Notamacropus eugenii: one gene and its partner. Each later gene encodes a partner of the first gene's protein in a complex. Links are inferred from orthologs where the notes say so. Each region holds a gene or a part of one and is shown on either strand. Other genes may lie near its edges.

The links.
Region 2: the proteins of SLF2 (region 1) and SIMC1 are in contact, whole or in part, in a cryo-EM structure (PDB 7T5P), measured with the Homo sapiens proteins. The link is inferred for Notamacropus eugenii from reciprocal best matches to the Homo sapiens genes SLF2 and SIMC1. Residues at the interface, in NP_060591.3 of Homo sapiens: His738, Val772, Leu775, Lys778, Asp783, Phe786, Gln790, Gly791, Phe792, Thr794, Ser795, Ala796, Tyr797, His798, Tyr799, Cys820, Ile821, Gln825, Ser828, Met831, Glu832, Ile835, Arg836, Asp838, Thr839, Ser841, Asp842, Ser843, Pro847, Lys919; in NP_001295125.1 of Homo sapiens: Tyr426, Arg428, Leu431, Lys435, Leu438, Pro440, Val442, His443, His444, Leu445, Phe447, Gln448, Arg470, Arg471, Phe490, Asp493, Pro497, Val521, Asp522, Lys525, Glu526, Tyr528, Met529, Met532, Lys533, Gln536, Leu537, Arg571, Asn658, Gln661.

What each region holds. Positions count from the first base shown.
Region 1 is NC_092872.1:178,890,949-178,901,690, reverse strand, and holds the start of SLF2 (SMC5-SMC6 complex localization factor protein 2), read right to left. Parts: upstream 4,253-10,742; 5' UTR 4,112-4,252; coding exon 3,984-4,111; intron 1-3,983. UniProt on the Homo sapiens protein: Plays a role in the DNA damage response (DDR) pathway by regulating postreplication repair of UV-damaged DNA and genomic stability maintenance.
Region 2 is NC_092872.1:412,834,153-412,844,812, reverse strand, and holds the start of SIMC1 (SUMO-interacting motif-containing protein 1), read right to left. Parts: upstream 4,281-10,660; 5' UTR 4,036-4,280; coding exon 3,649-4,035; intron 1-3,648. Other genes in the region: THO complex subunit 3, read left to right, coding at 10,609-10,660.

The DNA of each region.
Region 1 (10,742 bases):
AACCATACACGAACAAAACAGAAAAAGAGATTAAGAAACTGAATATGTATTCAACAAGAATGTAAAAATAAATAAGTAAACCTAAAATAAGCAAAAAAAAGAAGAGATATTAAAAATTAGATGGGATATAAACTGGAAACAAATAGAAATGATAAATAAAACTAAAAGCTGGTTCTTTAAAAAGACTAATAAAATTGACAAATCTGTAGCAATTCTGATTAAAGAGAGAAGAAAGTCAAATCAATAAAACAGCAAATAACCAAGGTGAAATGACAACAAAGTTATAAGAAAAATAATCAAAACATTACGTACAGTTATATGCTAATAAAACTTAGAACACAAAAGAAATAGAGGGATACCTTCAAAAACAAAAATGACCAAACTATCAGAAGGCTATGTCAAGACCTTAAATAACCTAATCTGAGGAAAAGAAAGAGATCTAGGTATAAAGGAATTACCAAAAGGAAAAAAAACCAAAACTCCTAATCCTATTGTATTCATCAGAGAATTCTATCAAACTTTTAAAAAACAATTAGCAAACACACTCTAGAAATTACTCTCAAAAACTGAGAAAGTACCCTATCAGAATCTTTTTATGAAACAAATATAATCCTAATACCTAAACCAGGGAAAGATTGAAAGAAAACCACAGACCAACAAATCATTAATGTACCTTGACAAAAAACTTAAACATAATCCTATTAAACAGACTCTAAGAATTCATACAAGAAATAATTTCTTTTGATCAAGTAGAATTTGTACCAGGGAAACAAGGAGGGCTCACCATTAGGAAACGTCAACATAATCATATTATTATTATCATATTATTATCGTAATATTATCATATCATTAATTTAATCATATTAAAAACAAAACATCTAAAACCACATGATCATCAACAGATGCAGAAAAAGCCTTTTATAAAGTAAAATACTCTTTCATGCTAAAAATTCTAACAAGCACAGCATAGAGGGAGCTTTTTTAAAAATATCATAAAAAGCATCTACCTAAATCCAAAAGCAAGTATCACATGCAACAGAAATACACTAGAATCTTTTCCAATAAATTCGGGAGTGAAGCAAAGATGCCTACTCTTCTCACCATTATGTGATATAGTTTTGGAAATGCTAACAATAACAGTAAAATGAGAAAGGAATTAAAAGAATTTTCAGCCAGATCTGGTTCTTCAGGACTCCATTTGGGGTTTTCTTGGTAAAGATACTGGAATGGTTTGCTATTTCTGTCTTCAGCTAAGTTAACAGATGAGGAACTGAGGCAAACAGGGTTAAGCGACTTGCCCAGGGTGGCACAGATGCTACTAAGTGTCTGAGTCTGAATTTGAACTCAGATCTTCAAGACTCCAGGCCCTGTGCTCTTATCCACCTCACCATCTAGCTACCACATAAAAGGAATAAAGAGGTAAAGAGATAAAACTATTTCTTTTTGCTAAAGATATGATGGTTTACTTGGATAACCCCAGAGATTCATCAGAGATACTCACTGAGACAATTAACAGCTTCAACAAAGTTTCAGGACACAAAATATATCATCAAAAATCAACAGCATTTCTATAAAATAACAACAAATGATAAGAAGCAACAATAAAAACTGGAATCCATTCCAAATAACTATAAAATGCATAAAATACCTGGGAATTAGTCTCCCAAAGCACACAAAATAATTAGTTTTTCAATTGCAACTGAGAGAAAAATGAAAGACAAAATGCCTTATTAAAGGTATTTTGGAAAATGCAGGGTGTCCCTAAAGTCTTAATGCAGTATTAAGCTTTAATTGGCATAGCAATATACACTATCCTAGTAACATAAGTCTGAATGAAATCAAGAGAGAATAATTAAGGAAGTGCTACAAAGTACCAAGCAATCTACCTGAAAGTCATTACACACAAAAATTTCCAGGAAACCATATTGTGCCATAAATATCAAGGAATTTCATCTTAAATATTCATTTTACCTGTCTCTTTAAAAAGTTTTATTGAAAGCTGTTTTTAACTCTTGTCATTTCTAAATGTATCAACCTCATTTTCCCCTGTAAAAAATATTTAAGCAAAAATTACCAACCAAACTCCTACAAAAGTAGCTTCTGTGTCCTTATGCACACTCACCTCCCTAATGAGGCAGAAAGTTAGTTGAGACCAGTGCTAGTTACTGCAAATATTATTTCCCTTTACTTTATAGTCGTCCACTCTCCCAGTACAATTCACTTTGCTCTGCATCCATTCATACAAGTTTTACCATGTTTCTCCGGATTCCCTTTCTCATGGTTCCTATACCTTGCTTTGTTTGGCCACTCACCACTTTGTTAACTGTTTTGCCTCTGTAAAAGACTGCTACAAATAATTTGGAACATATAGTGCCTGTCTAAAACAGGTATGAATGGTTCATTAGGGATTTTTTCTCCCAAAATTTCACGTAATATTCAAGAATAATTAGCCTAATTCACAACAGCAGCACCAATATTCCCACAGCCCCACTAATCCTGACTTTTGTGGATGTGGGTGAGTCACAGGGGAGGGGAGGGATTTTAGAGTGGTTTTAATTTGCATTTCTAACTAGTTCTATGTATTTCAACACTTGAAAGTCTTTGTATTTTAAAAAATACTAAAGCGCCCGAGTCGTAGATTAGCTCAAAGCTAAATTAAAAACGCTAAGGTAAGACGCCAGATGGGTTTGAAATGACAAGACATATATGGATCAAGTCTTTTTTTAAATTTTAAGCACGCACACAAAAAGAAAACGAAACAAAAAGCGAGTAAGCCTGGCGGAAAGTAACCAGAGGACATAAAACAGGGATGGGGGAGAAAATTTAGGGAAAATAAATTCATTTCTCAATTGAGAAAACAGCATAAAGAATTTTTTTTAAGTAAAAACACAAAAGTGCACAAAGATGCCCTGTGGACAAGCTGGTGGGGAGCTGGCGAGAGGGGGAAATGCTTAAAGATGAGAAGGAAAAAGCACCGCCAGTAACTGGCAAGACAGAAAGAAGCGACGGGGGAGAGGGCAGACCCACGCACCGCACAGTTTTACACACACACACACCCCCCCAGGAGAAAATGTAAACAATGCTGTCCGTGGACCAGGAAGCGCGGACCTCTTAGGGATGCAAAACACGAACACCGCGGGAAAGATCGCTTCCTCCGGGCCCACTTCTAGGGTGCAGCGCGCACGCACACGCACCAACACGCACACGCACACGCGCACACACACACACACAAACACACACACAAACACACACACACACAGGAAATATCGCTTCCTCTGAGCCCACTTCTAGGGTGCAGCGCGCACGCACACGCACAAACACGCACACGCGCGCACACACACACACAAGCACACACACACACAAACACACACACACACACAGAGGAAATATCGCTTCCTCTGAGCCCACTTCTAGGGTGCAGCGCGCACGCACACACACAAACACACACACGAACACAAACACACGCGCGCACACACACACACACACACACACAGGAAATATCGCTTCCTCTGAGCCCACTTCTAGGGCGCAGCGCGCACGCACACACACACAAACACACACACGAACACAAACACACGCGCGCGCACACACACACACACACACACACACACACGAAATATCGCTTCCTCTGAGCCCACTTCTAGGGTGCAGCGCGCACGCACACACACAAACACACACACGAACACAAACACACGCGCGCGCACACACACACACACACACACACACACACACAGGAAATATCGCTTCCTCTGAGCCCACTTCTAGGGTGCAGCGCGCACGCACACGCACAAACACAAACACACAAGCACACAAACACACACACAAACGCGCGCGCGCACGCACACAGGACCCTGACCGCTCCACGTCCTGGGAGGCTCGGGCAGTGGGGGAGGGGGGCTGTCCGGTCCCAGGGGTCCGGCGGTAGGCTGGAGAAGCCCTTCGGGCCGCAGTCAGCCCCTAGGCCCACGGCCCCACCACCGTACCTGTCACCGCGCCTCTCCTCACTCCTCCCCGAACCAGGCCGGGCCGCACCGGGCCTCAAGCGGCAGCGCGACAGTGAGGCTGGAGAAGAGTCCGCGGAGGGCCTAGCGGCCACGCCGCCCAGCTGCATGTCCCCGTCGCCGCGCTGGGGGTCCGGTTCGGGGACTCCAGGCAGCCTGGGACGGCTGCTGGCACTTCCACGCCCCCTCCCTCTTCACAACAGTTACCTCTAAGACAGGGGTGCAGAGGCTGGCGGGAAGGAACCAAGCCACCAGAAGGGGGCGGGCTTTGCCGCCGGGATTGGTGTGTTGATCGGCTTGATTGGCTGGAACTCGAGGGTGTCCATACGCATGCGCAGACTCCGCCCCTGCCTTTTTTTTTTTTAATGTGAACCCAGGGCCAAACATCCCAAACCAGGAAATTACTCGGCGCACGCGAGGGAGGCGCGAGCCCTGCCCTTCGCTCTCTAGGGCCTCTGGGGTCAGTGGTTGTCAGTGGTCCAGCGGAAAGCTGCCCCTGGCGACCTGGGCTGCAGGGCCCCTGACCAAGCCCGCGGTCAGTGAGCATTCCTTCCGGTCAGGTCGTTTCCCTTGGGTCCGATTCTCCCGGACCCCATTTGGGGTGTTCTTGGCAGAGATACTGGAGTGGTTTCTCAATCCCTTCTCCGGCGCATTTTACAGATGGGGAAACTGAGGCCAAGAGGATGAAGCGCCTCGCCCAGAGTCACGCATCTGAGGCTGGGTTTGAACTAAGTCTCCGAGCACTCCCTAGCCTCCCGCTGTGTGCCCGACGCTGTGCAGGCTGCCATACCCGCCCTCCCCGGCCGTACGCTCTAATGGGGGAGAGTCAGGCAAACAGACAAGGAATCCGGCATAACTAGGAGAGAATGGAGAGACCAGGAATTCAGAGAGCCCAGTCTTTGAAGAGTGGTGCCCAGTGTGGCGCCGAGGGCTGAGGGCGCCTTGCCCCCCAGGGTCCCCTCATCCCAAGGGTCTTGCCCACTTAGTTCAGGAGGAAGAGGAGGGGGACTTTAGCCCATTTTAGTTTTGATATCTTAAACATCCATCCCTGCAGAATACACAGGGGCAGTCAGATGGCAAGGGACGGGGGGCCGGCCTGGAATGGGGGAGATGTGGCTTCGGACACTTACAGGCTGTGTGACCCTGTCCAAGTCACTTATCCTGTTTGCCTCAATTTCTTCACCTGTAAAATGATCTGGAGAAGGAAGTGGCAAACCACTCCAGTCCCTTTGCCAAGAAAACCCCAAATGGGGCCACCTAGAGTGGGAAATGACTGCCCAAGGACTTTTAAGAGCCATTGGACCAAGTGAAAGGAAGCCAGAGGAGAGGTCTGTTCAAGATGACTGACCTTTGGTCCCTACAGAAATGCTTTGAGTTAACTGAAATTCAGAGAGGGAGTGTTTGGCATCTCTGGGGGCATCTTTGGGGAGACATCTCTTTGGCCCCGTCATTTTGCCTCAACTCTCTCTTTAACCTTAGCTTTGGAGGCTTGAAAGCAAGGTGATGTGTTAAATACTTAGCATGAGCCATAATTTTGATATGGTTTCATCTTACAAGAATAGTAATATACATACTTCTAGTGAAACCAGGCTGACCCAGAAGTCTCATACCCAAATGAGCTGGTTTTCTCCCTTTTATATTTTGTATCTATTACATTTTTAATTAATTTATTTATTTTTAGTTTTCAACATTCACTTCCATAAGATTTTGTTTTCTAAATTTTCTTACCTTCCCCAAGATGGCACGCAATCTGATATAGGTTCTACATATACATTCATAGTAAACCTATTTTTACATTAGTCATATTGTAAAGGAGAATTAGAACCAATGGGAGGAACCACAAGAAAAAAGAAACAAAAAATAGTGTACTTCGATCTGCATTCAATTATGAAAAAAAGAATATATTCCCTTTTATATTTTAAAATAAATTGTAGTAATATATTTTTTTAACCTGGCCCAATTTATCCCCATATGTTCCCTCTGCCCTGTAAGATATGGGCATCTTTTTTTTTTTTTTAGTTCTTTATTTTTTTTTTTTATTTTGTAATGTTTAACAATCACTGCCATACAATTGTGATTTTATCCCCCCCACCTACCCCCTACTCCCCCCCTCCCTCCCCACGACTGCATACAATTCTGTATGAATTCTACATATACTTTCCTATTGAGTATATTTTCACTATAGTCATGCTATGTAGTCAGACTAAGATAAATGAAAGAAATCGTATAACAAATCAGAACATGATACACAAACACATACACATACACAAACATGATCTGCTACAATATGTGAGTGACTTCCATATTTCTCTCTCTGAGTGTGGCAGGCATTTTGCCTTGAGATCCTCCATTGGGATGGTAAGAAGTTCTTGTGTTGCTGTGCATAAAGTTTTCCTGGTTCTGCTCCTTTCACTCAGCATCAGGTCATATAAGTCCTTCCAGGCCTCTCTGAAGTCTTCTTGTTCATCATTTCTTATGGCACAATAGTACTCCATTACATTCATATACCATAATTTATTCAGCCATTCCCCAATTGATGGACATCCCCTTGACTTCCAGTTTTTGGCAACTACATAGAGTGCTGCTATAAATATTTTTGTACATGTGGGACCCTTTCCCATTTTTATGATCTCTTGGGGATATAGTCCTAGTAGCGATATTGCTGGGTTAAAGGGTATGCACATTTTTGTAGCCCTTTGGGCATAGTTCCAAATTGCTCTCCAGAATGGTTGGATGCGCTCGCAGCTCCACCAACAATGAATTAGTGTTCCAACTTTCCCACATCCTCTCCAGCATTTATCATTTTCTTGTTCTGTCATGTTTGCCAATCTTATAGGTGTGATGTGGTACCTCAGAGTTGTTTTGATTTGCATCTCTCTAACCAATAGTGATTTAGAGCATTTTTTCATATGATTATAGATAGCCTTAACCTCTTCCTCTGAAAATTGCCTGTTCATATCCTTTGACCATTTATCAATTGGGGAATGACTTGTATGATTATACATTTGGATCAGTTCTCTATATATTCTAGAAATGAGGCCTTTATCCCAGAGCTTAGCTGTAAAAATTCTTTCCCAATTTACTACATCCCTCCGGATTTTGGTTGCATTGGGTTTGGTTGTGCAAAAACTTCTCAGTTTAATGTAATCAAAGTTATCCATTTTGCATTTCATAATGCATTCTAGCTCTCCTTTAGTAAAGAATTCTTCCCTTCTCCATAGATCTGATAAATACAGATGATATGATGATTTACCTAGAGAATCCCAGAGATTCAAGTAAAAAATTACTAGAATTAATAAACAACTTTGGCAAAGTTGCAGGGTACAAAATAAACCCACACAAATCTTCTGCATTCCTATATATTAGCAACAAAGTCCAACAGCAAGAGATAGAAAGAGAAATCCCATTTAAAGTTAGGGTAGACAGTATAAAATACTTAGGAGTCTACCTGCCAAAACAAACCCAGGGACTATATGAACACAATTACAAGACACTTTTTGCACAAATAAAGTCAGATTTAAGTAAGTGGAAAAACATTAGTTGCTCATGGGTAGGCCGTGCTAATATAATAAAAATGACAGTTCTACCCAAATTATTATACTTATTTAGTGCCATACCAATTAAACTATCAGACAATTACTTTCTAGAGCTGGACAAAATAATATCAAAATTCATTTGGAAAAACAAAAGGTCCAGAATATCAAAGGGACTAATGAAAAGAAATGCTTGGGAAGGTGGCCTAGCGCTACCAGACCTCAAACTGTACTATAAAGCAGCAATTATCAAAACCACTTGGTATTGGCTAGGAAACAGAGAGGTAGACAAGTGGAATAGACTTGGCACTCAAGATGCAGTAGGCAAGGAATATAGCAACCTTCTGTTTGATAAACCCAAGGACCCCAGCTTCTGGGATAAGAACTCATTGTTTGACAAAAATTGCTGGGAAAACTGGATAACAGTGTGGTGGAAATTAGGCATAGACCCATACCTGACACCGTACACAAGAATAAAGTCCAAATGGATACATGATTTAGGTATAAAGATTGATACCATGAATAAACTGGAGAAGCAAGATATGGGCATCTTTATGTAAAATATCTACCCAAAATAATTGTTGGGGAACATTTGAACTTCTGGTGGACCTGGAGTTCTTGTTCCCATTGAGACAATGATGACTTCTGATAAAAAAAAAATACTGATATATTGAGAAGCAAAATTATCTTGGCTAGAAATTCTTGAATGGAGATGAAACAGAGGACCATCTAGACCCTTTCTCTAGAGACTGTGCCTGCTCTGAGCATTCTTTTAAAAGTATCCTGTTTTCCAGGAAGATGATAAATGTTGGAGAAAATGTGGGAGAGTTGGAATGCTAATTCGTTGTTGGTGGAGCTGTGAGCTGATCCAACTATTCTAGAGAGCAATTTGGAACTATGCCCAAAGGGCTACAAAAATGTGCATACCCTTTGACCCAGCTATATTGCTAGTTCTAGGACTCTATCCCAAAGGGATCCTAAAAATGGGAAAGGGTCCCACATTTACAAAAATATTTATAGCAGCTCTCTTTGTGGTGGCCAAGAAGATGACCATCAACTGGGGAATGGCTGAATAAATTGTGGTATATGGATGTAATGGAATACTATTGGGCTGTAAGAAATGATGAATAGGAAGACTTCAGAGAGACCTGGATAGACTTATATCATCTGATGCTGAGTGAAAGGAGCAGAACCAGGAGAACTTTGTGCACAGCAACAACCACCATGTTCAAGGAATTTTTCTGGTAGACTTAGTACTTCATTGCAATGCAGGTACTTAAAAAATTCCCAATGGTCTCTTAAGGCAAAATGCCTTCCATATCCAGAGAAAGAAACATGAAGCAGACCATTTTCTTTTGTATTTTGTTTTGTTTAGTTTTATGATTTCTCCCATTCATTTTAATTCTATGCAACATGACTAAGGTGAAAATGTATTTAATAGGAATGTATGTATAGAACCTATATAAAATTGTATGCTGTCTCAGGGAGGGAATGGGCAGGTGGGGGGAAGGAGGAGGAGGGAGGAGAAAAAATCTAAGCTATATGGAAGTGATAGTAGAACACTGAAAACAAATAAAATAAAAATAAAAAACTCATTTAAAAAAGACTTCAAAAAAAGTGTCCTGTTTTCGTTTTGAATTGGGAGGGGAAAATCCTTAAAATAAAGAACCATAAAGGTACAGTGGGAAAAAGTACAAAATTTGGAATCAGAGTGTTTAAGGTTTGGCGCTATTACTTGCTAGTTGTGTTGGCAAGTTTTTCATCTCTCTGGGCCTGTTTCTCCTAAAAATGAAGGGACTGATTTTTAAAAATTTTCTCTTCAGTTCTAAAATATTAAAACATATCTGTGATCTCATTGATTTGGATGTTACCTCTAATAATGAAGAGCTTGTCAGCATCCTATTGTAAATTCACTACTGAGGGTCCCCACCCATGGTGCTGCAGGCCTTCTTGACCTGGTGAAGATGCCAGTAGTATACTGTGTTATTATCATCTCCAACATTCATCATGTGGTCAGCCCATCTTTTTGGTTTTGTAGCATATGTTTTTCTGGTGACATCTTTTCTTCCTCTTTTTCTTCAAAGTTCCTTACTTGTTATGTGTTACCACCTATTCACATCCATCACCCACCTCTCCCCTTCTGTTTGATATTCATTTTTAATTCCTCCAAGAGTGCTGTGTTTCATGTGCAAAAACTAACAGCACAACATAACACTGATAATTTAAAAATAGGTCTTTGTTTCTGTACAACAATAATAACTGACATATAGTACTTAAAAACTTGAAACAAACCTATGAGGTAGGTAGAATTTATATCATCTCCATTTTATAGAATGCTGAAGCTCAAAAGGTTAAATGATTTGCCTGTGGCTGAACAGATAATAAATGTCTGGTAGGATTTGAACCCCAGTCTTCCTGATTTCCAAGACTTATTAAACTATACCAGGCAACCTACTTCCTAAAAAAAAAAGTTCATCAGCATCTTTTATGTTTTTAATATCACATAGGTTTTCCAGTAGTCCCCTTCCTCCTCCCTTTTCCAAGGAGTCATCCTTAAAATGAAGAATAAAAAAGAGGAGAAAAAAGTTCAGTAAATCAATATATTGAAAAGTCAGATGTTATGTGCAATACTGAACGCCAAGCCCCTACTCCCTAAGCTTGGCAAAGAAGCTGGGATAGGGAGATATCTTCTCAAAGTTCTTCTTTGGGGTCAAGCGTGGTCATTATAATTTGGAACATTCAGTTTTGATTGTCTTGTATCCATTTCATTGTTGTAGTCAGTCTATATTGTTTCCTTGTTCTGTTTACTTCACGTTGCATCACTTTAAGAGGTCTTCCATTCTTCTCTGCATTTATCATATTCATCATTTCTTATAGTACAATAATATTCCACTATACATTATACAGTTTATTTAACCATTCCCCAATTGAGAGGCATCTCCTTTATTTCCAGTCATTTGCTATGACAAAAAAAAAAAAATGCTGCTATAAATCTTTTAGTGCTTTGGAGTTCTGTCTTTTTGTCTTTGACCAAGACTGCCCGCTTCTTAAGAGCCTAAGATTCATTCACAAGAGCATCTTGTCCCTTAGACTAAGGTTTGAACTATTTATAAAATGTTGCTACTTTTTATTAACTATAATGATTGTGACAAGCACTTCCATGATTAGAAAGATCTAAAGGCAATCCTCAAGTCTTACTTTGGCAAGT
Region 2 (10,660 bases), about 230 Mb from region 1:
GACCCTTGAGTCAGGAGGACCTGGGTTCATAGCCACTTGATGCTGGCTAAATCACTCAAGCCCAACTGCCTCGAAAAAAAAAATCATCTAGGAAAATTTCCCAGAAATACTGAAAAAAGGCAAAGATTATAAATAAACATAGCTTGCAAGAAACTTCAGATTTACCTCACTTAGATACATCAATGTCAAGCTTCAAAACTTCCATGACTAGTAGATGATTTTATAAGCAGGGAAAGGAAAATGCATAACATAAAAAACAAGAAAAAACTATCAATTTGAATTACATAAGATTTCAAAAATAAAAATCACAGAACTTGGAACATGATATACTAAAAGAGTACTGAAGAAAAGGTTAATTGCTACATTTAAGCATTTTTTAAAATGTAAAAGTCATTTAAGAATTTTAGTCTGAAAAAGTTGTGGTAGCTTTTAAAAGAAAACTCTAAAGTAGCCTTTACTATGCATAATAAGGAACAACACAGAGAATGAGATAAATTTTTACAACACACACACATGCGTACGTGTATACATACGTGTGTGTGTATATATATATGTATATGTTTGTTTTACATTGGCAAAAGTCCACCTTCTTTCCTTCCTACTCCAACCCTACTCCGTCCTTCAATCTCCCAGGCAATTGAGAATGAAAGAAAAACAAAATCTCTGTTATAAACATGTACAGTCAAGCAAAACAAATGTCCAAACAAAATATGACTCATTCTCCACTCTGAATTCTTCCCCTCTGTATTAGGAGATGGGTAGCATGGTTCATCATTGACCTTCTCTAACAACTCTGGTTGGTCATTGTGCTCATCAGAGTTCCTAATTTTTTCAAAGTTGTTTGTCTTTACCTCATTGCTATCACAATATAAATTGTTCTCCTGGTTCTTTTCACTTCACTGTATTAGTTCTTCACTCTGCATCATTTCATATAAGTCTTCCTGGGTTTTTTGGAAAACATCCCCTTCATAATTTTTTCCAGTACAATAGTAGCATTCTATCACATTTATATACTATATTTTGGCAATTTCCCACCTCATGGGCACTCCCTCAGATTCCTATTCTTTGCCATCTCCAAAAAAAAGTTGTAATTATTTTTTTTATATCTTTAGAGTTTATTTTGTTTAGGATTAATCCCTTCCTTAATCTGACTTCACTCTAATTTGCCCTTCTACCCTTCCCCTCCTATTTCCCTACTGAGTGAAATGAATTTCTGTATCTAAGTGTGTGTGTGTGTGTGTGTGTGTGTGTGTGTGTGTCTGTATGTGTGTATTTCCTTTTTTTTTTTCATCAGTTCAGATGAGAGTCAGCTTCAAGATGTCATCTAATCTAATAATTAGCAGGACTGGGCAGAGTTGCCCTCTATGATATACCTAGTAAGGGGTCATCCAACTGTCCCTGAAGCCATCCAGTAAAAGGAATTATTGCCTTAAACAGTAGCTCATTAAAGTTTTGGACACAACTCTTAATTTCTGGGAAATTATTCCTTCTACGAACCTGGAATCTATTAACTTTGGATATGCCAAATTTGAAATACCTGTAAGTCATGTAGTCAGAAATGTCCAACAGGCAGTTGGTGATCCTGCAGCTCAGGAGCGGGACTATGGCAAGATATGCTGATCTAAGAGCCATATGTATAGAGATGATAATTAAAACTACCTAATAAGGTCACCAGAAAAGAAAGTATAGAGAGAGGGTCCAGGATAAAGTCTTGGGGCAAATCAGTTTGATTTCGATATTTGTACATGTGAGATAAAGATGATAATCCAGCAAAGAAGGCTGAGAACAAAAAATGACCAGACATTTAAGGGGAGAATCAAGAGAACATAATGTCACAAAAACACAGAGATAAAAGAATATATCCAGGAGAAGCTGGTCAATAGTGCCAGATGCTACAGAGAAATCAAGAAGATTGAGAACTGAGAAAGGGTTAGGTTTAACATTTAAGAGCTAAATACAGGATGCTAAACTGAGAGGACAATTAGATCTAGTGGTTTGTTTTAAGGATGAGAGAAGCTTGCCATACCAATCAAACTAAGAAAAATTATTTTATGGAACTAGAAAAAATAATAACAAAATTCATCTGGAAGAACAAAAGGTCAATATCAAGGGAATGAACTCAACAAATATCTCTATTAAAGGCCTCATTTCTCAATTATACAGAGAACTGAGTCAAATTTATAAGAATCCAAGTTATTCCCCAACTGATAAATGGTCAAAGGATATGAATAGAAAATTTTCAGAAGAAATCAAAGCTGTCTATGGCCATCTGAATAAATGCTCTAAATGACTACTGATTAGATAAGTGCAAATTAAAAGGTACCACCTTACACTTACGAGACTGGCTAATACGACAGAAAAAAAAATGAAAAAGATTGGAAAGGACACTAATGCACTGTTGGTGCAGCTGTGAACTGATCTAACCATTCTGGAGAGCAACTGGCAGTTATGAACAAATTACGAACTATGTGTAGCCTTTGTTTCAGCAATACCACGAGTAGGCATATCTCAAAAATATTTTTAAAAAGGGGGAAAGGACCTATTTGTACAAAAATATTTACAGCAGCTCTTTTTGTGGCTGCAAAGAATTGGAAATTGACCGGATGCCCATCCGCTGGGAAACGGCTGAACAAGCTGTGATACATGATTGTAATGGAATACTATTGTGCCATAAGAAATGCTGAGCACGCTGACTTCAGAAACACCTAGAAAGATTTACACAGACTGATGCAAAGCCAAGCCAGCAGAAGCAGGAGAACGTTGTACCCAGTAACAGCAATGCCATACCATCAGCAGCTGTTCTCAGCAGTACCACGATCTAAGCCACTTCCAAAGGACTCCAGGCGAAAAATGCTATTTACCTCTAAAGAACATCTGAAGGAATCTGAAGGCAGACTGAGGCACACTATTTTTCACTTTATGTCTTCATCTGATCACCTGTTCCAGACCCTTTCATTTTATAGATAAGTGAGGCCTAGAAAAGTTTCCACTATGGTATCCTGTCCAAACCTATCAAAAATTAAAACGCTGCTACATTATTTTGATCTTTTGCTGAGATGTGGCCTTGGAAACAGAACTAGCCACTTCTCTGGACCTTCCAAAGGGGCCAGCAATCAGCCTTCTGGTTTATAAAAGGTCAGTTGGGTGGGCCTCTCCTGCGACCCAGGATCTGACTTATGAGGCTCCCATGGTGTTAAGCAGGCAGCCAGGTGTGGCAGCGGTCAGGGGCCGAGCACAAATCGCCCACCAGCTGGGTGACCCTGGGCACGTCACTTAACCCTACTGGCCTCAGTTTTTTCCTCTGTCAAGTGAGTTGAAGAAAGGGCAATCCATCATCCATCCAGACAACGACTGAACTACACGGTGCGTCCCGGCTTCGCAGAGCTGGGCGGAGACGCTCAACACCTCAGCTAACAGCTAACAGTGGGAGGGGGAGGGCCTTCATTTCTTCAGAAAGTCTCCAGGTTACCATGGAGAAAGGAGGCAGGGGGAGAAGGGAAGGAAGAAGGGAGGGGAGGAGGGGGAGAGGGGCTACCTCCTGGCTCTCAAGGAACTCACAGTCCAAACAAGAGACGTATTAATTAAAAGGAGGACAACAGAAGGATAAAGGGAGGAAGGGGGAGGTGGAGGGAGAGGGCACGGACTCACCACCACAGCTTGGCCACTGCACGCGGCTTGGGCCCCTCGGCTCCCGCCTCCGCGTCGCGGCCGAGTCCGCCGGGCTCCGCAGGCTCGACCAGCGCCGAGGCTTCGGCCGGGACTGCAGGGCTCGTCATCGCTGTCATCCGAAATCACAATGGGTTCCGTCATGGGATCGGCTTCTGAGGCGCGAGGGGAAGCGAGGGGCCCCGCTCCGCAGCGCCTCCGGCTGCGGCTGCGGCCATCCCGGCCTAGCCGGGGCCTCGCCGTCGCCTCCGCCCCTTCCCGCTCATATCCCTGTCCCAATTTCGGCTGCAGCGGGAGCCAGGGCCGCGGCCGGCGAGGGGGGCCCCGGGGCGCGCTCTGAGGAGGACAAGGAGGCCCCGCTCGAGTCATGGGTCCTCCCGGAGGGCCTGGGCTCGGACTGGGCCCCGAGGCTGGGGGGGAGAGGGAGAGCGCTGCGGGGCGAGGGCAGGGCCCCTCCACGCCCGCCAGCCCGCTCTCCTCGGGGCTTCTCGGGCCCCGGGCCTCCCTGATTACTCCTCCAGGTCGAGGGGCGGGAGGGCATGGGGAGGCGGAGCCTGGGCACGCGCTCAGCCCGGGGACGCGAGGAGACGGGGAGGGGGGAGCCTCGAAGCGGGCAGTGTTTTGGCGGGCGGGGCGGCGGCTGGCGGCGGCGCCTCTGACCCCTCCCACTCCACACCTAGAGCGCCCCGGAGGAGGGCATTTCCTGGGTAGTTATCCTTCGAAAGGGGAAATGAAACCGCCCCGGGGAGTGAAAGTTGGAAGGAGCGGACGAGGACTTCGAGGCCGGGTGGGGTGGTGGGTGGGGCTGCTGCTGACCCAGCGCCCCAGCTCTCGCTAAGCACCAGGGGCTCGTTTCAAGGCATTTTTTCAGTGCTTTTCGGGGCACCCTGCTGAGTTCTGAGGCTGAAAAGGCAAAAACACTTCCCTAACCCCCAGCACAAAAGATTAACAAACAAGATGAATTGAAAATAATAAAGGGAATGAAGCAATTCCTGTTCTCTCCGGAGAGACTATACGTACACATCAGTCAGTCATTTATTAAGCTCCTCCTGTGTGCTAGGCATTGTGCCAAGCACGGATATAAGAAGAAGCAAGAGTCCTTAGGGCTCTCGAGGAGCGTCAGTCTAGTAGGGGAGACAACACTTAAACACATACAAAGCAAGCGATATGTAGGATAAATGGGAAATAGGTCATACAGGGAAGGCCCTAAAATTAGGAGGGGCTGCGGAAGGCTTCCAGGGAAGATGGAATTTTAGTTGGGACTGAAGACAAAGAGGTCAGGTGAGTTGGCTAGAGCAGAGGAGGGAAGAGAAAATGCTGGGAACTGGGGAGTGTCTTCTTTGTGGAATTACCAGGGTTAACTGATTTGCCCAGTGTCATACCTAGGAAGTGTCCGAGGCCTAGTTATGAACTCAGGAAGATGAGTTTTCCTGACTCCAGACCTGGCACTCTTGTCTACCTGGCCATCCAGCTGCCTCAGGGGACATAGTAGATGGTGGTTAAGTTTAGCCTTATTAGGATGGTAGGGATTCCACTAGCTGAGATGAGGAGGAAATTCATGGTAGGCATGGGTACAGCCAGTGCCAAGGCTGAGATGGGAAATAGAATTTCCTGTACTGGCAACAAACAGAAGGCAGGCTAGTGTGGCCAGAATGTAGAGTGCCCCGGTGAGAATAATGTAAATTCAGTCTGAAAAAAATAGGTTGATGTCAGATCTTGAAGGGCTTAAAATGCCAAATTTTCCCTTAAAGGCAAAAGGAGACTACAAAGGCTTCTTGAGCAGGAGAGGGATAGAGTCAAAACTAAGATTCAGAAGTACCAATTTGGCAATTGTGTAGATTCAGGAAAACCAATACGGCAACTATTATTATAGTAAATTGACATATAATTGAGAGCCTGAATTAGGGTTGGTGCCTGATTGAATGCAGGTACAACAGATGTTGTGAATGCAGAATGGATAAAAACAACAATTGATTAGATATAGGGGGGTGAAGGAGAAAAGAGAAGAAGATGACTGAGTTTGAGAACATGGGAAGGATGATGGTATGTTCTGTTCATAATATATGGTTTTTCTAGTCCAATATTCCTGTAAATATGTTTTTCCTGTTTAGGATCTTTGCAACTGTAAATGTCGGTCTTCTTCTATGAACATAATAGAATTATTATTTTCTAGAGAGTAGAAGACATGCATGCATAGATAGATTGGTTAACTAAAGCCTTTTTCTCTTTAACATTAGACTCTTTGTGAAAATTCCATTCATCCCACATGTAGAATCCAATGAGCTGTAGCTATTTTCTTTAGCACCTTTTTGTGTCTCTTTTGCCAAGCTTTTAATTCTCTTTTCATAATTTTTTTGCATCACTCATTTCTTTCCCCAATTTTTCCTTTACCATTTTTATCTCTTTTTTTAGCCTTTCCAGGAATTCTTATTGGTCTTGTGTCCAGTTTATATATTTTTTCTTTGAGCTTTCTTTGTAGTTGTTTTCATGTTGTTGTCTTCTAAATTTGTATTTCTATCTTCTGTGTCACCATAGTAGTTTTTTAGGGTCAGATTTTGTTTGCTCATTTTTCTAGTTTATGTCTTGACTTAGCTTTATTTTAAAGTTGGGCTCTGTTTCTAGCATGGGATTGGGGGCGCTGTCCCAAGCTTCAGGCTTTTTCCCCACTGCTGTTTTCAGAGTTAGTTCTGTGGGCTAAGTTCCAAGGTAGTGTGATCTAGGAAGAAGTGTGGTCACTGCTCTCCTCATCTGTGCTCTAGTCTTTACCCAGGAAGGGTCTCTGCTCTCCTGCAGCCACAAGCACCAGTGCTTTTCTTTGCCCTGGAACTTCGACCAGGAACTGTCTAAATGCAACATGGTTCTGCATCCAGTGCCAGATCAGGGTCCCCTGTAATTTCTTTCTGAGCAGTTGCCCAATGCCCTTTCTGTCTTTGAGTGGTGACAACTCCCCAAATTGCTGCTGTAGATCTGTTGTCTCCATTTCCTCCAAGGTCAACAGCTGATGTCACTATGGCCAGCCTTTCTACCTCAGTGTCACAGACCTCTCCTTCTTACTTCCTATCAGGGTAGGGAACCTGCAGCCTTGAGGCCACACTTGAGTTCCCCATTTCTGTCTAAGTTGTTTTGGGCTGGAAAAATGTTTCTCCCAAAACCTTTTAACCATCTTTTAACCATCTAAAATTCCTACCTTTTTTCTTTGTTGAGTTTTATGTATTTCTACACCAAACTATTTGTGTATGTGCTTCTGGCTGCTGTTTCAGGGAGGGAGTGGAGAAGGAGGGGGAGGGAGGGGAAAAAGATAATGCTGTAGGAGGTCCTGTACTTTACTGTGTGTCTGGCACTAAGGATACAAATACAATAAAAATGAAAGTGTCTTTGTCCTCAAGGTACTTAGATTCTAATGGGGGAAGACGACTCATAAAAATAGCTGAAAAATGGGGATAAGATGGAAGGGAGGTAGCTCCCCCAGAAAAGGGAGTCTGAAGAGTAAGCAGCACATCTGGAAACGGAGTGAAGCATGATCAGTGTGGGCCTAATGGAGTGCTTAGGTGCATGTTCTTGGATCCCAGTTCTAAAAATCACATTTCTCTCTAAAAATCACATTTCTCTCTAGGCTCAAAACACTATCCCAGGCAGTTTCTCTCCAGCTCAAAGTACAGGACCTCCTACAGCCATCTCTCCTACAGGGAAGCAGCTCCTGTGGAGAGAGGAACAGCCCTCCCCACCAACTGCCAGACAGGGCCATATACAGGGGAGGCATTCGATCTACCTGAAGCAGCAAAATATCCTGAGGGAGATACAGGGGGTAGCTTATACAGAGTACCACCTTGATCACCCTGTCCCCCCAGATCCAGATGGTCATAGCCCAGAACCTTTAGGCAAAGAACATAGGAACGTATCCCAAGTTTCTCTCCAGCCGGCCCTAGTAAAACTGTTATCTCTCTTCTTGATACAGTAGCCAGCCATACCTATAGAACTTATTAGTCTGAACCAGCTGTGTATTGGCTGAATGGGCTATGCGCTGGGTCATAATGACATTTACTACTCACTGACCAATCATATGTATCCTAGACTTAAACATACTTATACTCCCTTACGTTTATCTTGTCTAACAAGACAGTGATGAGAGCAGCCTGATATTCCTTAGTCAGCCCTGACCTTTAGTTGACTTAGTGGTATTTCAGGCCTAAAACCACACCTCCATGTAGCCCCTCCCCGCCTTGGGCTATTTCCTGATGAACTCTGAGTAAAATACCTGCTCAGTAGATACAAAAAGTACATATTCCTTTAAGAACTAACCACTCCTTAACCACTCCCTAATCCTGCCCAGAATCACCTAGTTAGCATATTTGGTACATGTTTTACTATAGAATATCCTAGATAAACATTACCTGTATCCCTCTAAGGTTACAGGTTCTCTAAGAATTCTTGTCCTTTGAAAAGCGTAATAAATCTTTACCTTGACCTCAAGAATGCTTGAGTCAGCGAATTCATCCCAGGAGACCTGCCCTTGTACTCTGGTGTCTGTGGGGGGGGTCTCATCCCCAGCCCTCTCCCCCATCCAACTATCATCAGGCCTATGCCTAATATGAAGGCTCCCAGGATGGAAATCACCAGTAGTATAGGGAGGCTGAGGTGGAGAAGGAATGTTCTAGGATTGGAAGGCCTTAAACACTGAGAGAATTTGTAGAGTGAGAAGGCAACTGAGCCATGGTGGCAAAGTACAGAGAGTTGAAAACATTGTAGGGAGGTGAATCATCCATTGGAACCAAGGAATCAATAAATCATTTATTTATTAAGCATCTACTACATAATCTGAACTGGGCTAACTATTAAGGATCAAAGGACAAAAATGAAATTGTTGGATTCCTGCCTTCGAGGCATATATATTTGTAACATGCATTCCTAAACCTCGGACATTTTGCAACCTCTGCATATGCAAAAGAATATTCTAATACTGGAATGGTGACAGGATACCAAATGCTGGCAGGAGTAGTTGATTTTTGATGGAAGAGCTTTGGGGAAGAAATATATTCTTTCAGAGACACTCATTGATTTAGAAATTCTCTGGAACCCCTCCAATTTGGAGAGAAAGATCCTCAACATATCCAAAGTCTCTGAGAAGGCAAGGTGGAAACTGGGGTGAGATCCTTCTAGGTGAGATCAGGATTTCTCTCTCTTGGTTCAAGCTGAAATATTATCTTGCATCCATCAGAAGAAATCATGTGCTTTTGGGTATTTTCTTGCTCATTCTATATTTGTATTACCACCATTTTTGTTGTTGTTGTTTTGCTTACTTGCTATTCAATATTTCTTTGCATAACCAGTCTTTCTGTTGTGGGGGAAGGAGCCAAGCTGACTTGGGTAAGTTTGGGGATACCTTTTCTCTTAAGTATTAGTGACCAAGGAAGTGGCTTTTCTTTTGAAGTTACTGTACCTTGTACAGCAACATTTAGGCAGGCAGATAGATATACTATTGGTTCTTATCATTCATAGTAATTATAGCCTAGAGTTACCGTGCACAAAGAATTAGCAAATACTGAACCATGGTTCCTAGAGACAATACATGGTTGGATTCCGAGAGCCTCTGATCACATCATTTGCTTTAGCACTTTCCAGAGCTGCCTCACAGATTAGCTGAATTTCCATTTCCTTGATCTATTATTGATTCACGCAGAATAACCTAAAGGAAGCTTCTCTAATACTTGTCTTTTCTCTGTGATGCAAACCTTCCTGTCCCATTAACTCTTTAGCACCATCCCTGGGAGCCATTTTAAACAGTGGGATCACCAGCAAACGACACAAAAATTCGGAAACAAAAAGCGAGGTTTAACAGATCGCAAGAAGGATGATTGTTTGTAATATGAAATTGAAACAAGAAGGCAGAGGGTCTCCAGAAGGTTGTTGGATCTCAGCTGGAAACGTGGGCATAGGGTGACTCAAAGTTTTGCCTGTCTGGGTTACAAATATATTTTAGCAAGTAGGTGAAATTGCAAATATGAAATCTGTAAATAATGGAGATCATATATATTTGTAGTCCGTTACTCCTCTCAGGGACTGGGGAGAAAAGTTTACCCAAACCCATGGCCCTTCTGCTCCTCTCACGGTAGGTGTTAGTCTCTCTCGGACAGGACTGGGCAAGATTCGGGAGATAACGACCGAAGCCTCTGGAGAGACTGCATTTTGCTTGAAGGTGCTATGATTATAGTACTCATTATTTATTAATGCGCCCGGGAAGCAGCCGTCAACCGCACGGCCAGTCCAAGCTGAGAAGCTCGGCCGCTTCCCCCGCAAGCCGCTACTTGCGCCCCGCCCCCGTTCGCGGCCTCCGCCTGCAGGGCCCCCGTTCCCGGCCTCCGTCTGCAGGGCCCCTGTTCCCGGCCTCCGCCTGCAGGGCCTCCGTCGGCCAAGTGCGATCAACGCCCTTCGGTTTCCAGGCTGCTTCCAGGCTATTCGCTTCCGCTCAACAATGGCGCAAAAACACAAGATAGGAGGGAAAATTTAACACTATCAGAAGCAGGGCTTGAGGAGACCCGGAAGGATGGTCAACAGGAAAAAGGAGTCCCAGGAAAGAGGATGGGATTTGTAGTTTTTAAGCCCTTTACCGTCCCTCCAGAGGCCACTGGGGTGGTGTGAATGCGCCTGCGCCACTCGGTTCCCCAAGCTTCCGGAACGGGCGCCTGCCCCCGGAGGAGTGCGCTTGCGCATTTCTGGCGGCGGCCGTTCCTCGCTCCTTCCTCCGGGATGGGGAGGGGGGGGATGAGTGCGCTTGCGCATCTGCGGCCGGAGGTCCGGCCTCCTTGCTTCTCCCCGCCACACCCCGTCGTGGGCCGGGCGGGGCTACTGCGCTTGCGTGTCTGCGCCGTGGTCTCCTGCGAGGCGCGTGGGTGGCGGTTGTCTGCTGTCTCTAGTGCGCTCGGGGCCCGGCTGTGAGCGCGCGGGATGGCGAGCGCGTCTGCCCTGGCGGGGAGCTCTGCGCTGGGGCTGGGCGCTG